Linked DNA regions of Cricetulus griseus. The protein of the gene in region 1 purifies or fractionates together with the protein of each later gene. This does not show direct contact. Links are inferred from orthologs where the notes say so. Each region holds a gene or a part of one and is shown on either strand. Other genes may lie near its edges.

Evidence for each region. Proteins that work in one complex are often made in the same cells at the same time.
Region 2: the proteins of Cct8 (region 1) and Tle2 purify together in Homo sapiens (affinity purification with mass spectrometry; 3 studies listed by BioGRID and IntAct, with this or other methods). This does not show direct contact. The link is inferred for Cricetulus griseus from reciprocal best matches to the Homo sapiens genes CCT8 and TLE2.

The regions. Positions count from the first base shown.
Region 1 is NC_048597.1:9,847,041-9,852,868, forward strand, and holds the start of Cct8 (T-complex protein 1 subunit theta), read left to right. Parts: upstream 1-2,938; 5' UTR 2,939-3,040; coding exon 3,041-3,100; intron 3,101-3,490; exon of another isoform or gene 3,491-3,635; intron 3,636-4,823; coding exon 4,824-4,914; intron 4,915-5,467; coding exon 5,468-5,547; intron 5,548-5,828. UniProt on the Homo sapiens protein: Component of the chaperonin-containing T-complex (TRiC), a molecular chaperone complex that assists the folding of actin, tubulin and other proteins upon ATP hydrolysis.
Region 2 is NC_048598.1:102,322,239-102,328,066, forward strand, and holds the start of Tle2 (transducin-like enhancer protein 2), read left to right. Parts: upstream 1-2,017; 5' UTR 2,018-3,112; intron 3,113-3,119; exon of another isoform or gene 3,120-3,227; intron 3,228-3,262; exon of another isoform or gene 3,263-3,534; intron 3,535-3,541; exon of another isoform or gene 3,542-3,812; 5' UTR 3,813-3,859; coding exon 3,860-3,892; intron 3,893-4,008; coding exon 4,009-4,106; intron 4,107-4,426; coding exon 4,427-4,490; intron 4,491-4,771; coding exon 4,772-4,816; intron 4,817-5,828.

The DNA.
Region 1 (5,828 bases):
GCTCACAGACATCTGAAACTCCAGTTACAGGAGATCTGCTCCCCTCCTCCCCTCTTCTGGCCTCTGTGGGCACTGCATGCACAGGATACACAGACATACATGCCGGCAAACACTCACACACACAGTCTTGGGGGCCGAGAAATCCAAGATCAAAGTGTGGATAGGTACAGTGAGAGCTGATTCTTAGGGCCATCACATGGTGGAAGAGCAACAAGTTCCCTTAAGTATATTTTATAAGGGTGCTCATCGGCTCCAAAGTATTTCCTCTTAGGAACCAATCACCTACCCAAAGGTTTCACCCTGTTGGTGATTAGGATTTCAGCATGTAGATTTTAGAATACCAACACTGTGATTCTTATTTGTTGTGTGGCAGTCCACCTGGCAATTAGATAGCGAGTTCTTATTCCATTCAATATCCTATTATGAGTTCCAGTTCATGCAGTGCTTACCTAATGGCTGAGAATGATTTTTGTCATTGCAACTATGTGAAATGCAATGCAGAAGGTATGATCAGAATGATAACCAGGAATGTCTGGGGGATAATCTAAGGCTTGCTGAGGGAACTGTTACTCTTACCTACGTGGAGTGGACTCAGCCAAAGGAGACGGAAAGGTTTGCTAGGAAAGAGGACATCAGGGGCATCTGGCCTCTCAGGCTTTACACATTGGAACCACTGTAATTTCACATACCGTGCAGGCCTCCAGAGAGCCCTGAGGAAACAATAAAACAGGGAAAAAAGGAAACGTGGAGCTGTTTCAGTACTGTGTCTAGAAGATGCAGGGTAAAACCAAGCAGGAAAAGATACCAGTGTAACAAGCAGGGGCTAGGACCTGGCTGGAGTCACACTAAGGGGTTTCTTTTCTTTTCTTTTCTGGATGACACATACTCTATTTAAACCCAGCAGGAAGTTTCCCCTTGATATCCCGACTCTGTAATTATAAATACAGTGTAACCCAAATTACATAGAATTAACAAATCTTCATTTAAAAGGAATTACTGGCAATTAAGACCTAATTCCTTGACAAAATAACATACAGTAGATTTTAATTGATTCTAATCCTTCCCATGTACTGTTTGTTACAATTAATACAAGGTCAATTCTTATTAAAAACTTTTAATGAAAATCCATCAGTTGTCTTGAACTTTGGTTTTTTATTATCTAGTTATTAAATTTTGCCAAGATTTAATTCCTCATAGTCACTTTTAATGAATCAGGTATCACTTTTAAGTACTCTCTATTTTTTAAAGATTTATTTATTACATATACACTGTTCTACCTACATGCCAGAAGAGGGCACCAGATTGAATTGTAGATGTTTGTGAGCCATCATGGGGTTGCTGGAATTGAACTCAGGACCTCTGGAAGAGCAGTCAGTGCTCTTAACCTCTGAGTCATCTCTCCAGCCCCCAAGTATCACTTTTAAATCCCTTTTCTTTTTTATTTTGTGTCAGTCATGCTCATAAATTATGTTCTCTGAGATATGAGTTTTAATTATTTTAGCTAACCCATGAGAAAATGTTGGACTATCCTCCTGTCCAGGTCTCAACTACTCTGCAGTCATAGAACCCCTATTTATGCTTTAAAATATAGAGCCCACCAATGCCCTTCTGTTCATGTGTATCATAGTTGTCAATAGTTGTTAACATTATAAATCAGAAAAACTACTAAATGCTAACTTAAAAATGTAATGTGAACACTACAGGCAAACACAATATTATTGAAAATAACTTTATAGAAGAGTGGCATTCACAATTTTTTCCAAATATTTTATATGTGTGTGACTTAATGGAAGACAGCCCAGTTCCCTTTGCTTCTCTCATTCAGACTGTGAGATACTGAACACTTACTTCATCAGCTTCCGAACTCCCCCAGGAAGGCAACAGACACCTCTGTTACGCTATGGAATGCTTTCAACCTAATGCACCCTCAAAGGGTCCTGGCGAGCCTCAGAGATGTCTAAACCAAACTTTGAAAACTACCGATGTCTTGCAGTAGCTTCCAATACAGACGGTTCCCTTACCATGTCACGTTAGGTGGCAAGAAAGTATTGTTTTCATGAGTACATATTTTAAATGCTCATTAGGAAAAATTCCAATTGATGATTAATTGCATTTAGAAAAAGTTGCAATTACGTTAAAGGCACAATGAATCTGTTCCAATATAAAGAAAGACCTTCATTTCTACATGTCCAGACGACCCACCAAAGCGTTTCCAATTTTCTGTATTTTTTTCCTATTTTTACCGTAAGAGTGTTTTACCTTCCCTGGGAAAACTATTTTACTTCACTAGTTGTATTGATTCGCAAAGTCATAGCAGTGGTGTGTGAAAAAGATTTCGGGGGAGTAGAAAGGATTTTTTTAAATTTTCTTTCCGAGACAGGGTTTCTCTGTGTAGCCCTGGCTGTAGACCATGCTGGTCTCGAACTCACAGAGATCCTCCTGCCTCCGCCAGCCGAGCGCTGGGATTAAAGGCGTGCAAGCACCACAGCCTGGGGCGGGGTGGGGGACAAAAAGCAAACCACATACCAAGTGCTCAAATGTGCACACTGTGCAACGGGCCAGCCGGGGTCGGAATCCCCGTTGTAATGTTTACCGGCGTGTCACTTAAACGGAGGTATCACTCCTTTGCAGGCCTGATCAATAACCAAGAGCAGCGCCCTTGAGCAAACAAACCACACAGGCTTGCACACACCGGCGCTCGGCGCGCGGCGAGCCTGGCTAACCGTTCGACCCGATCGGGGAGCCGCAGGTTGGGTCTGGCCGCGGGGAACCCCCCGCTAGTGTGCGCCGCCGCAGTCGTGCTCGCGACACTTCCGGTGGGAGGCCGGGCGGGCGGGGGGCGGGGGAGAAAGGGGCGGGGCGGGCGGGCGGGCGGGGCGGGGAGAAAGGGGCGGGGCGGGCGGGGCGGGCAGAAGGGGGCGGGCAGAAGGGGGCGGGCGGAGGTGGAGCGGCGTGAGGGGCACGCAAAGCGGCGCTCCCGGCAGGCTGTGCGCGGCCCTCGCTTCCTCCGAGCGCGTGAGCGGTTGATTGCGGGCCGGCCATGGCGCTTCACGTCCCCAAGGCCCCGGGCTTTGCCCAGATGCTCAAGGACGGAGCGAAAGTAGGTGACCCGGAGAGGGGACGCGGCGGGGCGGCGGGGCGGCGGGGGGGGATGGCGGGAGCCGCCTGCGGGCGGCGGCGGCGGAGCGGCCTGCGGGCGGGCGGGTGGGTCGGCGTGCGTGCGCCTGCGCCGCGATCCGGGCCGGAGAAGGTTCTAGAAAGCAGGCGCGCCGCTGACCCCCGGCCCCCGCCCTGACCCGAGCGGCCGGGCAGGGCTGCGGGCTCGCATCCCGCCTCCGCGGGGTCTCCGCGGGGGTGCGCAAGGGCGGGGCCGCCGCACCGAGCACGCGAGGGGCCTGCACGGCCTCGGGGAGCCGGGGAGCCGGGGATGCAAGGCGGCAGGCAGGGGCCTGGGGAGCCCGACGCTTCCTTCCAAACCAGAGACACCGTGACTCCCGGTTCCAGCCGCCATAGGTGGCTGATCCCGGCTTAGTTCCACCGCAGACAGACAGACCTCTCCTGAATTGAGGAGACCCGGCCAGAAGATGTCAGGGTCTTAGAATCCTGACTGCCACACGTGGTAGCCCCCGGCATAAGTGAGGCCCCTCCTGAACACGATTTCAGAGAGAGAGAGACGGAGAGTGTGTGAGAGACACACACAGTGTGTGTAGAGAGACTGTGTGTGTGTGAGAGACAAAGTGTGTGAGAGTGTGTGTATGTGAGAGAGAGAGACAGAGTGTGTGTGAGAGAGACAGCGTGAGAGAGAGACACAGAGTTTGTGTGTGTGAGAGAGAGAGACAGAGTGTGTGAGAGAGACAGTGTGTGTGTGAGACAGTGTGTGAGAGAGACAAAGTGTGTGTGGGAGAGAGTGTGAGTGAGAGAGTGTGTATGTGAGAGAGACAGAGTGTGTGTGTGTGTGTGTGAGACTTGTGTGTGGGGGAGAGACAAGAGTGTGTGTGTCTGGGAGAGTGTGTGTGAGAGAGAGAGACAGTGTGTGTGTGTGTGTTCACACTGCCTGTGCAGCCATTTGCTGAGAGATGTTCAAGCTGCCAGATAATTTCATTTTGTCTTCGTATTACTAAGACTTGTAGCGATAGGTAAGTGAATAGAATTTAAGGCCTTAGGGGAAAGAGAGGACTCCTAACAGTGTTGGAGAGCTAGGTGATAACCTGGGCATACTACATGGATGTCAGAATTTGATGTAAGTAGGTGAGTTGTGGAAAATGATATTGGCGATTGATTGCCTTTGCATCGGGGGTGGAGTGCCATAGTTTGCAATTTAGGTCTGACTCCCTCATTTAGATGGAGAAAATGGCACATTAAAAGCATTTGTCACACTCAGACCAGTGCTTTCCCTGGGATACATTATATGAATCGTTACTGAGAGGACTGAAGTGAAGACAGCCCCTCTAAGTCCCCAAAAGAATTTGAAATTAAGAGCAGGCGCAAATTGGCTGGGATTGTGGTGTAATGGTAAACTGATTTCTTGGGTTCAGTCCCAGGTTAAGGGTGGGAGGGAAAAATAGTTCTTCAGTAGGTAGGTGGTTCTAAACAGTTTGTCAAGTAGGAAGTGTTAGTTGTCCCATTGTTTTACATGTAGGAAAAATTACTGGGGCCTTTGTACTAAGGGGGGGAAACTAAGGCTATTTGGACTCCAGATTCTGTGTGCTCAATAAATGGTTGTGTGACCCTGGCACTTTATGAGAAGCATGATGAGCAGGGATACCCTGTGTTTGGAAGTTCCTGCCTCATGACCCTACTTAAGCAGATGTTTTCTTTTGCAGCATTTTTCAGGATTAGAAGAGGCTGTGTATAGAAATATACAAGCTTGCAAGGAGCTTTCTCAGACTACCCGTACAGCATATGGACCAAATGGTAATGGCCAATTTCACATCTTGAAGGACGTGTTAGCTTCTGTCTCATGCTGAATGCTAAATGTACAGGGAAGTTCTTGCAGGTTGTTTCATAGTTGACGGCACTGGTGGGCTCCTAGCTTTCAATCAGAAATTCAGCTTTCTAGGAAAATTAAATGACACTGTTATCCTAGTAGGTGATAGGAAAATTACAGCCCTTCAGTATTGATATAGCTCTTCATGATGGAAAGGGCTGAGCTGTTTTAAAAGTTGACATAGTTTAAGGAACCGCTTTCCTTTAACCATTTGAATTAAAGATACAGACTAGAGGATTAAACATGAGGCCAAATGTGTTTATGTGTGAATTCCAATTTATCAGTGCTTTCTGTATTCAGTGCATTGGGGTGTTTAGTCAGGAAAACCATGGGCTGTGTGGTGGGACTGAAAATACAGATCATATGTGCAAAGGGTTAAAAAGAGTCAGTGCAGCTTCTTCACCATGTTTTCTCTGTCTTGTTCGGGAGAATATTTGAATAATAATGGATTTTTTTTTCTTTGCAACTTTTTTTTTAAAGGAATGAATAAAATGGTCATCAATCGCCTGGAGAAGTTGTTTGTGACAAATGACGCAGCAACTATTTTAAGAGAGCTGGAAGTAAGTTTTTTCCAAAACCATCAAAAAAATTCTAACATAGACAAAGCACTACTTCACTTAGTTTATAAAGAACTGCTTCTTCCTCAAGCTTATTGTGAAGACTTATAAGTGACCAAAACAGTTTACTGTTGTGACTACTCAAAAAAACTAATTTAATTGTTTATGGAGGAACATAAAAAGCTTGCAAGAAAGCTCCTTGCAAGCTTGTATATTTCTATACACAGCCTCCTAATTTAATTGTTTATGGAGGGGGTGTGGAGTATTGCTGTGACTAGCAGATT
Region 2 (5,828 bases), on another chromosome or scaffold:
AAAAAAAAAAGTTGGAGACAGTGACCCACGCCAGTGTCCACCTTGCAAGCCTCTTCCTGCCTCAACTTCTCAAGTGCTGGGGAGCAGGAATCCGGGGAGCAGGAATCCCGCCCGGCGGACTAACGGGGCTTTTATTTTTAAAGGGGACCCCGCCGCCCGGGACCACCACGCGGGCTCTCTCCGGCGGGCGGGGCAGCCTCGCGCCCCAGCTCATCCAGAGCTTTGCTATTGGCGCAGCCCGGCCCAGCGCCTCCTGCTATTGGCCGCCGGGGACATGGCGCTCATTGGCCAGTGCGCTGAGTGACGTCAGAGACCCATGTGGGTGCTCTGGGAGCCGATTGGCTGGCGCTCCCGGCCACCCGTGGCGGAGATTGGCGGGTCCCCGGCAGCGGGCGGCCAGTCTGATTTAAGGTGGACCGAGCAGTCCGGCAGCTCCGAGCCTCAGCCTTTTCCTCCTCTCTGGTTTTGGAGAGCCGCCAAGGCAGGGGCAGCCGGGGGCCACGCTGACTCGGGAGGGCGGGAGATTCCGCGGTGCCCCCCCGCTGCCGGGCGTGATGGGGTTCAGTCCCAGGGACCCCGATCGCATCCCCCACCTCCACGGAGGCGTCGAGTCTGTGACTTCCGGACGCGCAGCTGCGGGGCAGAGGCCCCTTCCTCCGGGAAGTCCGCTCGGGTTCCCGGGGGCTCCCTCTGACCTTGGCCGCCTTCACAGCTGTGGGGAGGCTGCGGAAGGGGACCTTGGGCTCATCTTTGATAAGACCTGTGTGTCTTTGGGGGGGAGGGGATTCCAGGAAGTGCGAGCCCCAGAGAAAGTCCGGGAGCCACACCGCACATTAGGTCCCCTGGGATAAGGAGTCTGGAGCTGGAAGAGTGCACGGTGTGTGGCCTGCACGAGTGCTGCTGGCAGAAACCATGTCCTGGGTTTGCACCAGGTGACAGTACCGAGGCTGAGGGTCACTAGAAGGAAGGCCTATCCATCCCTGGGGGCCTATCCATCCCCTGAGGGGGCGGGGCGGGGCCGGGCCGGGGCCGAAAGGACTGCAGGGTAAGCGTGGTGACACGCACTGCGACCCTTACTCCCCAGGGGAGTCTGAGGCCAGCCTGGGCTACCAATAGCAAACGGGGAGAGGAAATACTGGGGTCCCAGACCGCCTGGGCACAAGGTGGGGACATAGTGTTTTCTCAGACTCCCCAGGAATCAGGAGCGTGCCCAGGATTTCTGGTGTGTTCTCCGATCTTGCTCCCTTGTCCGCTCTAGTTTTGAGCCAGGCCCTGGGGATAGGGGTGTGGCTCGGTCCTGACAGCCTAGGGAGGGACAGAATGACCTGACAGCCTAGGGAGGGACAGAATGACCTGACAGCCTAGGGAGGGACAGAATGACCTGACAGCCTAGGGAGGGACAGAATGACCTGCAAGGAAAAATGAAGCAGGAAACCAGTGTGGTGGAACCAGATTGAGGAGTAGGTTGTGTCCAGAGCAGCAGGTGCTGGGTTCTCAACCTATGGGTTTCGACCCCTGTGGGGTCGCCTGAGATCACCAGGAAACACACTACGATTTATAAAAGTTCAAGATCACAATTATGAAGTAGCAATGCAATAGTTTTATGATTGGGGGTCACCACAGCATGAGGAGCTGCATTAAATGGTTAGCGGCATCAGGAAAGTTGAGAGAACCACTGAGCTAGAAGATGCTTCAGGGACTCCAGGAGATGTTCGTTCATAGGGGAGAATCTGAGTGGTGGGAATGCAGAAGTGCGGAAGGAACCGTGCCCTGTACAGAATCTGCAAAGGCCCAGGGATGGATAGGCCTGAGATGGAGAGCATGGTGGTCCAGATATTGAGGGGGGGATTCATCCCTGACCACGCCCCCAGCCCCTCACTGGGGATTCTAGGCGGGGCTCCACCCTGACCACGCCCCCAGCCCCCCTCACTGGGGGATTCTAGGCGGGGCTCCACCCTGACCACGCCCCCAGCACCTCACTGGGGATTCTAGGTGGGGCTCCACCCTGACCATGCCCCCAGCCCCTCACTGGGGGATTCTAGGTGGGGCTCCACCCTGACCACGCCCCCAACCCCTCACTGGGGGATTCTAGGTCGAGATGGGTGTTGGGGGGCACTTCAGAAAGTTACTGAACACTCAGGGTGCTCCCTCCCTCTGGGTCTTCCTGTCAATTCCTGGCTCCCCCTGACTTTTTAAGGCTCCATCTACAATGGAGCCTTAATGACACCAACGGCTCCTGTTTGTTCGTCTCTGTCATCGTTTGTCTAAAGTCTTGCTTTTTGCACGGGCAGCTCCCGGTCTTGGCAGATCGTGGCTCATCTCCTAGAGTCTGTCCTTTTATCCTCGAAGTCCCGGGTCTCAGCTAACATCCTCCCTCTGCAGAATCTCGTAAAGGCCCTTGTCCCCTGTAGCTGACTTAGCTGTCCACAGAGGTCCAAATGTTCAAACGAACGAGGAGGGGTCTTTTCCCATGATCGTGATCGTCGTTGCCCAGTTTCCCAGGGCACAATTGTCCACAGTAGCACCAGGCATACACACATGTTTATTGATTTTGGCTTAAAGATGGGGCAGATCTGAGGTTTCTTCTCTGTGAAATGGGGTAGGAGCTCTCTTGTTCTGCAGAGTAGGAAACAAGCCCCCTGGGGGGGGTCCCTGGTGATAAGTGAGAGACACACTTGAGCTTGTTGTCAGAGCCGAGACTGATGGCACAGGCCTGTTGTCGCAGCTACTATAGGACTGAGACATAAGGATTCCAAACCCACGTTTTGCTTGGGGAACTGATCCAGACCTCATCTCCAAAAGTAAAAGGAGGGTTGGGGCATGGTTTGGAGCCTAGAATTCCCCAGTGAGGGTTGGAGGTGGTCAGAAGATGAGCTCTGCAAAAATGTTCTAGTGACCAGGTTCTATCCCCAGACCTAAGTTTCTGTGTACTAATTTAAGGTGTCTAGTCCTCTTGGACTCCCCACCCCCACCCGGTCTGAGGAGGCCACCCAGTGGACTGGTGGTGGCACCAACATGCATGTCAGGTTGCCCTGGTCTCTGTCCTGGTCCTTCACCCCTGATGCTCTGAGAGGTCACTCGTGAGGTCCCCACAGCTGGGCAGCATTGGCTAGTGAGCATAGCTGGGGTCTGCCTTTCCTGGGATTGGTGTTTGGGGGTGTTCATCCTTCATGGGGCCCCGTGTTACTGGCTCAAGAAAGACTCTTGCAACCCCCAGGGCTCCCGGAGTACGCAAGATTTTTTTTTCCTAACTTGTTTTTCTCTTTCATTCTTTTTTTTTTCTTTTGCGTGGGGGTGGGGCGAGAACAGTAGGCTCTAACTCAAGCCTCAGTTTCCCCAGCGGGTCTGGGAGCCAAGGAGGCAGACCGGTGCCACCTTAAGGCGGGTCCCGCCCGCGGCTCCCAGCCGAGCCCTGCGGAGAGAGGCGGCTCCGCAGCTACCGGCCACCAGCGCCGACCCCGGGCGGCGGCCACGGACCTGCGGCGCGGGCTGCAGCTGCCCCCGGGCCGGACAACCCGGGCGCGCTGGCGGGAGGTGGGGCGCCGCGCGGGGTCCAGGTCCCCTGCCCCCGGCAGGCAGGCTCTCCCTGGCTGCTCTTTCTTTGCGTGAAAATCCCTCCCCCAGCTCCGGCTTCTCTCCCAGCTTTTCCAGCCTCAGTCTCGCCGCACCCCAGCTCTAGAATAGCACCCCAAATTCTACCCTCTGCTCTGCCCCACACCCCACATTCTACTCCCAGCCTCAGCTTTGCACCCTAAATTTCTGTCCCCTGCTCCACCTCCGCACCCCAGCTTCCCTCTTGCCCCATCTCCAAGCCTCCACGAAGCTGGGCTGCCCCTTCTCCCATCCGTCCATCAGCAGGATGTACCCCCAGGGAAGGCACCCGGTGAGTACGGTGAGTACGGAGACCCCCACCTCTGACTGGAGCAGGGGAGGACGAGGGAGGGGATCCCTACCTGCTGGTGCCCGGAACTCCCCCCCCCCCCGTGTCCTTCTCCTCTATCCCCTCAGACCCCGCTGCAGTCCGGCCAGCCTTTCAAGTTCTCAGTCCTGGAAATCTGTGACCGGATCAAAGAGGAATTCCAGTTTCTCCAAGCTCAGTACCACAGGTGAGGGGGCCCCAGCTCTGGGCACTGGGAGGCCCCCGGGGGTGGGGACTTATGGAGGGGGCGTGGTCTGCAGGGCAAGGAGCGAGGCTCACCGGGAGGACTGGAGGGCTTCCTGGTGGAGACAGTGTTCCCAAGGTGACGTGAGTGGGTTTCTGGGAAAACCTTCCCTGAGGAAGGGTTTGTAGGCCTGGGCTCACCAGGGTTGGAGACAGTTTCTAAAGAAGTGTGGGGTGGGCAGGCAGCTCCTACCTGTCACGGAAACTGACCTACGTGGGGTGTGGTGAGGCGATCCCCCATTTTTGTCCAATCTTCCTGCCCAGCCTCAAACTGGAGTGTGAAAAGCTGGCCAGCGAGAAGACAGAGATGCAAAGGCACTATGTGATGGTAGGGTCCCGCCCTCGCTGCCCCCACTCTTGTGTTCCCTCTAAAGAGGGCAGCCAGGGACATGAGGAGCTTTCTCTGGGTGCCCTCCTCCCCAACCCCCAGTCTTGGACACTTGTCGGCCTCTCTGAGCCCAATGCCTTCTGGCTTCCCCCTCTGGGTCCCCGTGGGGTTCATGCTTCCATGCCTTGCCCTGAAGCTCCCACCCCTGAGGCTGGAGCAAGACTCCATGTACCCAGGATGGGGCCAGCTGTTCACACTGGTCAACACTGTCTCCTTTGCAGTACTACGAGATGTCCTACGGCCTCAACATTGAGATGCATAAACAGGTGACCGTTTGGAGTCAGGGGTTTGTGGGAAGGGATGATGCTCATCTGTGGGGCAGAGGCCATCCTCAGACATCTCTGGCGGTACCAAGGCCAGCAGAAGAGATTTTAGTCTTGTAACAAAAAGTATTCTCAGCATCTAGGGACAGTGGCCTGAGTGGGAACAGTAGAGGGAGTGGAGTGTCCCCATGGAGGAGGGCCTGGGCTGTAGGCCAAGGAGGGTTTGGAGGCAACTTTCCTTTCCAGCAGGGATTCCATTGTAGAGCCAAATCTCTGCAGTTGCATGACAGACCCCTGGGAGCCTGTGATGGACCCCCGGTGTCTGTGGTGGACCCTGGAAGCCCGTGAGTCTATGATAGACAATGGAAGTCTGGGAGCCTGTGGTTCACTCTGAGAGCCTGTGAGGGACCCTGGGAGCCTGGGGGCCTGTGATACACCCCCGGCGTCTGTTGGTAGTTTGTATCTGAGCCTGATGAAAGCCAGGGGGCCTGGGATGACTGTTGCTATGTGTTTGGCCTGCTGCCGTGGCTCATCTTGGTTCTGTATTTTGGAGACAGACCACGGGGTTTTGTGTCTGTCTCTGAGGGTTCTGAGATGGACTCCTAGTCTGTGAGTTCTGAGTCTCTTCACTAGGAGTCTGAATGTGGGCCCTAGGTTCTCAGATGGTCCTCAGGGTTCTGAGGTGGAATTCCAAGTTCTGAGCTACCTTGAAGGTTCTGAGATAGCCCTGAAGGTTCTGAGCAAGCCCTGGAAGTTCTGAGATAGCCCTGAAAGTTCTGAGCTAGCCCTGAAAATTCTGAGCAAGCCCTGAAAGTTCTGAGCAAGCCCTGAAAGTTCTGAGCTAGTCCTAAAAGTTCTGAGATAGCCCTGAAAGTTCTGAGGTAGCCCTGAAGGTTCTGAGCAAGCCCTGAAAGTTCTGAGATAGCCCTGAAGGTTCTGAGCAAGCCCTGAAAGTTCTGAGGTAGCCCTGAAGGTTCTGAGCAAGCCCTGGATGTTCTGAGCTAGCCCTGGATGT